Linked DNA regions of Cricetulus griseus. The main gene of each other region encodes a partner of the protein of the gene in region 2 in a complex. Links are inferred from orthologs where the notes say so. Each region holds a gene or a part of one and is shown on either strand. Other genes may lie near its edges.

Evidence for each region. The genes of interacting proteins can lie anywhere in the genome.
Region 1: Med13l (region 2) and Med23 share a complex: the UniProt entries of both Homo sapiens proteins name them as parts of the mediator complex. The link is inferred for Cricetulus griseus from reciprocal best matches to the Homo sapiens genes MED13L and MED23.

Annotation. Positions count from the first base shown.
Region 1 is NC_048595.1:244,052,760-244,056,405, reverse strand, and holds part of Med23 (mediator of RNA polymerase II transcription subunit 23), read right to left. Parts: intron 2,624-3,646; coding exon 2,554-2,623; intron 1,160-2,553; coding exon 1,047-1,159; intron 1-1,046. UniProt on the Homo sapiens protein: Required for transcriptional activation subsequent to the assembly of the pre-initiation complex. Component of the Mediator complex, a coactivator involved in the regulated transcription of nearly all RNA polymerase II-dependent genes.
Region 2 is NC_048597.1:98,444,032-98,448,451, forward strand, and holds the start of Med13l (mediator of RNA polymerase II transcription subunit 13-like), read left to right. Parts: upstream 1-1,573; coding exon 1,574-1,645; intron 1,646-4,420. UniProt on the Homo sapiens protein: Component of the Mediator complex, a coactivator involved in the regulated transcription of nearly all RNA polymerase II-dependent genes.

The sequences.
Region 1 (3,646 bases), on a different chromosome or scaffold from region 2:
AGAACAAAAATCTCAATAATTAAAAAAAAAAAAGAATTCCATGGGCCACTTAAAAACAGAATAACCAGTCAGTTTTACACAGAAACTTTAATAGTAAGGGTTGGTTTGTAGACACAAGTTGTTTTTTGTTTGCTTGGTTTTGTTTTGTTTTTTTTTGAGACAGGGTGTCACTCTGGTCTAGAACTTACTATAAAGCTCTGGATGGCTGGAACTCGTAGTGTCCTCTTGCCTCTGGGGTTACAGTCATGACTAACAACAACTAGCTTTGTGGATACAGTTCTAAGGACTATGGAGTCTGTGCAATCTGCAAGACTGCTCATTAATGAACTTAGTGGGACTGTTCTTCCTTAACAGAAAAACCCCTAGTGATTACAAAAAACATACCCTCTTTGCTTTGGTATTAAACTCAGAAACATGACTTCAGACAGTCACATTTGTCGTAAACATCATTGTAAAGAAAAGAATCTTCCACTTATAAATCTAACCAAAGAGAATGGATACAGTTTTCAAACGTTCTCTTCAAGTTAACCACTATTGCCAAATTTGAAAAGGGTAGATGCCAAAAGAACAATAGTAATGTGTGTAGGTCCTCAGTTCAAATCCTGCATCTTTGAGTTCTTTAAATGCAGAGCCTTAGACAAGAACTCTACTTGAGGAGAGCTTTCTATATCTAAGTACTCCTAAAGGCAAACCCACAAACCACAGAGTATACCTGGGGTAGCAGAATGACATAGCACCTACAGCCAGATGTGGCAGTACACAGCTGTCATCTCAGCACCGGGAGGCAAAGGAAGGGGTGCACCACAAGCTCAGACTATTGCACAGAGTTCCAGGCCAGCCAAGGCTACATAGCAAGACCTTAGCAAAAGAAGTGGAAACCAAAGACAAAACCAAAGCACACATCATAAAATACAGTAAGCCATAAGCTATCTTTCTTTAAAATATTTACTTTCCCAGACTATTAAAAGGCATCTGACATTGAACACTAGACACTATGGGATGGTGATTCTTAGAAGACTAAAAGTTACATTGGATTTAACACATACCTTATCATATGGCAAAAGGCCTTTCAAAGGAAAGCGAAGGGTTGCAGGGTCCAGTTTCCATGAGTTACAGATGGCTCCTGAGTTGTTCACAACTGGCAGAAGACTGCAACGGCCTGTACACGCATTACAAAAACATTTCTATGTAAATCTGACCGAGGCAATGCCAGGTTCTTCATACCTCTTTGATAGTAATGAATATGCATGCTGGGGTAGACACTGGTTTAAATGCCTTTAACAATGCTGTCAGGAGACTAAAGTGTGAGAATTTTTATTACCTTTATTTCTTTCAGATGGCTGAACAATCAATTTGTACAAGGCTTCCAAATTTGAAACTGTTGAGTTTTGTTTTAGTGTCTAAGGCAGAGGTCAGCAAAGTACAGTCCCTGAGCCAAATCTAGCTGGCTATCTGCTTTTACAAAGTTGTAATGACACACAGTCACCTTTGTAGTCCGGCAGCAAAGCTGCCACAGACTACAACACAAAGCTTCCGATGGTTATGAGATGGGACTGTACAGATTCAGCCCGAGATCTCTGCTCTAGAGTTAACGCTTTTGGGTTTTATTTGTTTGTTTTGTGAGATTTCTCTAGAAGACTTTGATGTGGCATATGCTGACTGCCTAAACAACAGTGTCACTTAGCTATTCCATAGATATCCCAAGCTCAACCTACCTGAAATGAACTCACCTTCATCTTTCTTAAGATCTGCTTCACTTCTGTAATTCATTTAAGGATATTATTATCCGATCAGTTACAAAACCTAGAGTTCAGGATTTTTTGTCTAGAGAATTTATGTAGTTTATGTTTATATTCCCTGTGTCTAAAACTGCACTGACTCTTAAGAAATGCTCAATAGATGATCATTAAAAGAAGGTCTATATCCCAGATAGTTATGTGGCTGCCACAATTTCTAAAAATACATTTGGGCATTGCAAAGAGTATCAAATGAGAAAATTAAACCAAACATAAAAAAGTAGATAGCTAAAATATCCAATGAAGAGCTAAGGTGTGAATTATAATGGACTAGAAGAGTCTGGTATTCCCCATACTATAGCCACAGCAGAACAAGCTTGCTGGCATTTCCAGCTGCCTAGAGTTTAAGAAGCATTTCCAGGCGTTATAGACGTAGCTCAGTAGTTCAGCAGGCATGAAGCCCCGGCCTACATAGTTTGAGGCCAGTGTGGGTTACACAGACCTTGTTTTAAAAATCCAAAAATAAAACACAATAAAAGTTATACCAAGCTAATCAAAATATACAAAATAAAAAGTGTTCCCAGTTACTAGGTAACACAACTTCTAGAATGGTCTTATGTGAAAGTTACACCACTCTATGATCTCTGTCTTTGCCTATCCAAAGCACCTGAAAATAAACATTATTAGTTTCCTCGAGTGTTACAAAGTGGCAAGCCACTCATAAGAGGCCATCTTTCAGCTTTGTCCAGCAGACTCATAGTCACTAAAGATCAGGTATTAAGTAATATACTAAGCAAACTTCAAATTGTAATCTTACCGCAAATGGAGTTTATCCTTGCTGTGGGCCTAAAGGTGTCCACAAAGTCTGATACCAAGTTTCCTAGTAACTAAAAGAAAACAGATAATACAAAAGACCAAGATTACCCAGAGTGATCATCTATTAAAATTTAGATAATACCCATAAAGAATTAGTACAAGCCTGGCACAGAGTAATTACTCAAAGACAAGTGCACTCTTTTTCTTCCAGGTACTTGTCACCCAGTGTGTCCCTAAGTTAAGCCAAGCCACTAGATCCTTACCTAGTCAATGAAGCTTTGTGCTTTTTAAGCACATAAGAACTGTCCCAATGGGCTAACAGAAATATGAAACAAATATATTATGCTAAAAATACATTTACTGGGCCAGTGATATGGCTCAACAAGTCAAGATGATTGACACCAAGCCTGATGGCATAAGTATGATCCCTGGGACACACAGACAGAAGAGAGAATGACTTATGCAGGTTAGCCTTAGGCCTCTAGCCACATGCATGGTGTACACAGTCCACACACACACAAATAAGTATTAAGTATAAAAATATATGCTACTCAAGCATAATAACATAATCAAGGCACTACTTTTCCTTTGGGACCCCTCCCACTCTAGGGAGTTGACTTTACTTTCCCCATGTTCACTCTGATACATAAATCACTATCTTTTCGAAGGAGGCAGTGAAATGAAATGGCTCAGCAGGTGAAATTACTTGTTGTGCAAAACTGATAACCTAATTTTGAGTACTGGATCCCACTGACAAAGGAGAAAACCAACTCCCAGAGCTGATCTGACTCCATATGCATGATACGGCATGTGCATTGATATACATACTGTACTGGCTAATTTTATGTCAACTTATCACAGGCTAGAGTCATCTAAGAGGAGGGAACTCTGATTGAGACAATGCCTCCATAAGATTAGACAATTCCTGGACTGGTTGTCCTGGGTTCTATAAGAAAGCAGGCTGAGGCCGGGTGTTGGTGGCCATGCCTTTAATCCCAGCACTCAGGAGGCAGAGGCAGGTGGATATCTGACTTTGAGACTAGCCTGTCTACAAGAACTAGTTCCAGGACATCCTCCAAAGCCACAGAGAAACC
Region 2 (4,420 bases):
GACCTTCAGGATGTCATTGCACCTCTCTGAACTAGCTCACCCAAGTCGGGTTCTGAGGATTCTGTGAAGTAACGTGTATGAACCACCCTCTTTCCTGGTTTTAAGGTTTGGGATACTTTCAAAGCTCCATTCCTATGTCAGCTTTCTCTCACCCGTATTACACTCCCACCCATCTCTCCTGCGTTTTACTCTTCCTTTGTTTCTTTGAGACTGTGTAGACCTGTCTGGCCTGGACCTCCCAGAGATCCGCCCGCCTCTGCCTCTGAGTGCTGGGGTAAGAGGCCGCGTCCCACTAATTCTACCTCTTTTCAAGCCAAAGTTCCCCCTCCCTGTATTTTGGGGCCGAAAACTGGTGAGTTGGTTGGAAGATAGTGTCCAGTATCAGCACTTCTCTCATTACTCTGAAGAAGGAATGCTGATTATTGGACCCTTGGAGCCTGAGGAAGGGCCTGCTCCCCACACAGCACATTGTGAATGTGGCACATAGCAAGAGCGCTGGGGACATTTATGCAAGGAATGCCTGCACGCACGCAGAGTGGGCGCAAAATGCTCCGGAAACATGCGTGCTTTAGGAGCTCAGCGCTCGGTAGGCAGCGAACCCCGAGCCCTGGCTTCGTAGTGCCAGGGTTCGAATCCCGCGTCCTCGGGCAAGCGCCTCGCTGCCTTTGTGTCTCTGAGTCCCACTCCTCCGCCCGGTGAGCAGCGGCCGGCGGGCGTGAGGTTTCGAGGACACTCCTCGGTACGGTCCGACAGGCCGGCCCAGCCCGGCCCACGCCGCGCCCCAGGCCCGAGCAGCTACCAGGGCTCCGGAGGCCGTGCCGAGAAGCCGCGGCCTCCTCGGCCGGCGACAGACGCGCGCCCGCGCCCAGGGCGGGGCGTCCACGCAGCCCCGCCGTCCCACGGCCGCCCGCACCTCTTTCTCTCTCTCCCTCCCTCCCTCCCTCTCTCGCTCGCTGGTCCCCGCTCCGAGAGGGCCGCGCTCGGCTCAGCAGCGCTCCCGCGAGCCGCACCGCCGCCGCCGCCGCCGCCGCCGCGGCCCCTCCCCGCCCCCCGCGCGGCCGGCGCCCGTCACGTGACGCGCCGCAGCCAATGGCGGGCCGAGCCGCGGTCGGCGGCCGCCATTGCTGTCAGAGCGAGCGAGCCCGGGAGGGAGGAGAAGCGCGGCCGACTGGGGAGGAGGGGGGGGTGGGGAGGAAGAGGAAGGAGGGGACGGCGCTCGCTGCCGGGGTCGCCCGCTGGCTTCGTCCGCACCCCCCCCTTCGCGGGCTCGCGCGGCAGCGGCGGCGGCGGCTCGGGGCGGCTGCGGGGCTCGCGTGCCTCACGCGCCGGCGCGGCGAGGGCGAGTCGCCCGCCGGCTGGAGATAAACAAGGCGGCCGACGAGGCGGCGAGGCGGAGGCGGAGGCGGCGGCCCTGCGCGACAGAGGCGGGCGCGTTGCCGCGCCGCGCCCCCCGCCGCCGCCGCCGCCGCCCTCGGGCTCCGCGCGCGGCCTCGCGCCCCGGTGCCCGCGAGCCGCCGCCCGGCCCGGCCCGCTCCGACATGCCCCGCTCTGGCGGCCGGGCTCGCGGAGGACCATGACCGCCGCGGCGAACTGGGTGGCGAACGGGGCGAGCCTGGAGGATTGTCACTCCAACCTCTTCTCGCTGGTGAGTGGCGGGGCGGGGGCCCGGGTGGGGGGCGCGACCTCCCCGCCGCGCAACTTTCTCCTCCCGGAGCCCCGGCGGCGTCGGCGAGCGCGGCGCCCGGCGTGGACGTACGTGTGGAAGTCGGGGCGCTGCGGACGCCGGGGCGCGCTCGGAGCGCCCACCTCCGTGGCAATCACACCCCCCTTCCTCTCCCCTTCCCCCTCTTTTTTCTTTTCTTTTCTTTTCTTTCTTTCTCTCTTCCTCTCCCTCCCTCTCTCTCTCTCTTTTTAACTCCTTCCCGAAATGTGGAAGGCTTAGAATTCTGCCTTGTGCAGCCGCCGGCGCCTGCGATCTGCAGGCTCGTCCTCTCTCCGGATCGGATCGGCCGCTCTCCCGCGTCTGCCTTCTGAATTTTCTTTTTTTAAATTCCACAATGACACCTGCGATTTCGACCGAAAACAGTTGATGGAAGGCGATTGTGTCAGGGAAAGGACTCTGGCAGCGGAAGCTCGCACGGTTGTAAACACGGACAGCCGCCAGCCTCTCGGGGCTTACTATGCTGGAGAGCGGGAGAGCCATTGCTCAGAGCCCACGGAAGGTGGAGGAAGCTCCTGCTCCTCGGCTCTCCTCCGCTGCCTTTAAAAACTGTTTTTTCTGCCCTAACAAGGAAAACACACACACACACACACACACACACACACACACACACACACACACACACGAGAGAGAGAGAGAGAGAGAGAGAGAGAGAGAGAGAGAGAGAGAGAGAGAGAGAGGAGAGCAACAAGCTGGGCGGTTTGATAACATCGCTTTTATCTGCCTTTGCCTCTCCTCTCTCCCGCTTTCGCCTCTCTGATAATTGACAACTTTTGCTTTGGAAGTGCATCGCCTGCCTTAATCTCGAAGCATTTAGGGTGTCAATTGTTCTCCTGGAAGCCTGGCACCCGACGAGGGCGGCTCGATTCATCGAAATTAAAAATGTATAGGGCTCCAGCAACTCTTTCCTGGCGGTGGCAGTGACATTTGGTGGTAAATGCCATCTTTGCTTTTTATTGGGTCGTATTACCTCGCTCTGAAAACATTCGCGTTGTTAAACCTGGTGCTTAGACTGATAATGGGAGTGCGTGGTCTTTAAATACGCGCTTTGTGCCTGAGTTACTGTATGTGGAGCTATGTGCCCGGGAGAGTACGAATTTGTTTAAATATTGAGCAAAGATTTGTAAACAGATGTAAGGCAATTATGTTTCAAGCGTAGAATATAATTGGAAAATTGGTTGAACGGCTTATTTAATTTAGCCTTAAAAACTCAACTTATTTTAAGTTGTGTGCCCAGTATTTGTTTTGGGGGGGGCTGGGGTACGCTCCCTTTTGGAGAGCATGCATTTATTGCAAATTATTTTCTGTAACCCCTGCTGTAGATAGGAGCTTTATTTCCTCTCAGTCCTTGTTTACACTGGATAAATAATTTAGTGTTGAAATTGTAATTAGTTACATTTAATTATGGGTGGCATAGATGCTTTTTCTCCCCTTGGAGACTAGTGGAGAAATACGAATTCTTGCCAACTTAGGAAGTGTCATTTTATTTTCATGCAGATAAAGAAATCAAGCATGATTTTGGCCTACAAAGACCTAGTGACATAGTACTCCTGCTTGCAGTCCTGTAACAGTGTAACAGCAGGCTGATTTCTTCTTACTCTGAATTGAGACTCAGTTAGAAGTTGGGGTTCTTCCTTCACCGCTGTGGTAATTTACCCCTTGATCTTTTGATGTGAGGATAAAACTACTTTTGCCCCCCCCCTTCCTCTGTCTGTCATTTAGTATTAGGTTCAGGAACCTTCATAGATCAGCAAATGTATTGATTAAGGGGTATTTAAAATGGTTTTGTTTGGCGGCTGGGTGACCACATTGACATACTTACAGGTAATTAAAATAACCAAGTCAACCCATATTAGTTTGGGAGAGCTCCCAAATTACCATACATCATGCTGACTAATAATGGCTTGTGTGCATGTGGCTAATTTATAGACAATGAATTGTGTGGACAAATGAAAGACTGTTGGTGCACAGCTGAACTGTGAGGTCATTCCTTATCTCTTGAGCTTCAAGGGGGTGATAGTGTAGAGATGAGATGTTTGAAATTCCTTGTTGAAGATTCTGGACTTTGATTTTTACTGGCCTAAGGATGCATTCTGGGTATTTCTCCCCTAAACATCTTTAAACCAAAGAGTTGACTTTTGAATATAATTTAAAGTATAATTAACTTTTTGGGTAATCCCTTTGAAATGCAGACATGCTTAGATTGGTTTAAAAATATAGAATGTTTATATTTCATGGTACCTAGGGATGTATAAATGCTGTTTAATTGTTCAAAATGGCTTATTTATTTTTATTTTATGTGCATTGATAGATGTTTTGCCTGCATGTATGTCTCTGTGAGGGTGTCAGATTCTTTGGAATTGGAATTACAGATGGTTGTAAGCTGCCATGTGGTTGCTGTGAATTGAACCCCGGTCCTCTGGAAATGCAGCTAGTGCTTTTAACTCTATCTAAAATTTATTTGAAGAAAAAAAAATCAAACTTCAGTCTTTTCTTCTGATTCCAAATTGAGAATTTTTCCTGAAGATCATATACAGACAGCAGCAATCTATCATGTTAAGAATACATTGCCCTAACAACATAGTTGATTCCAAAGGGTTGGCAGTGATCACCTTTTCAAAGTCATGTGTATGTCTGAAGAACTATAGGTACTTGGCATTTTGTACTTTTTGCCATTTTGACCTGCAGTTTTGTTTCTGA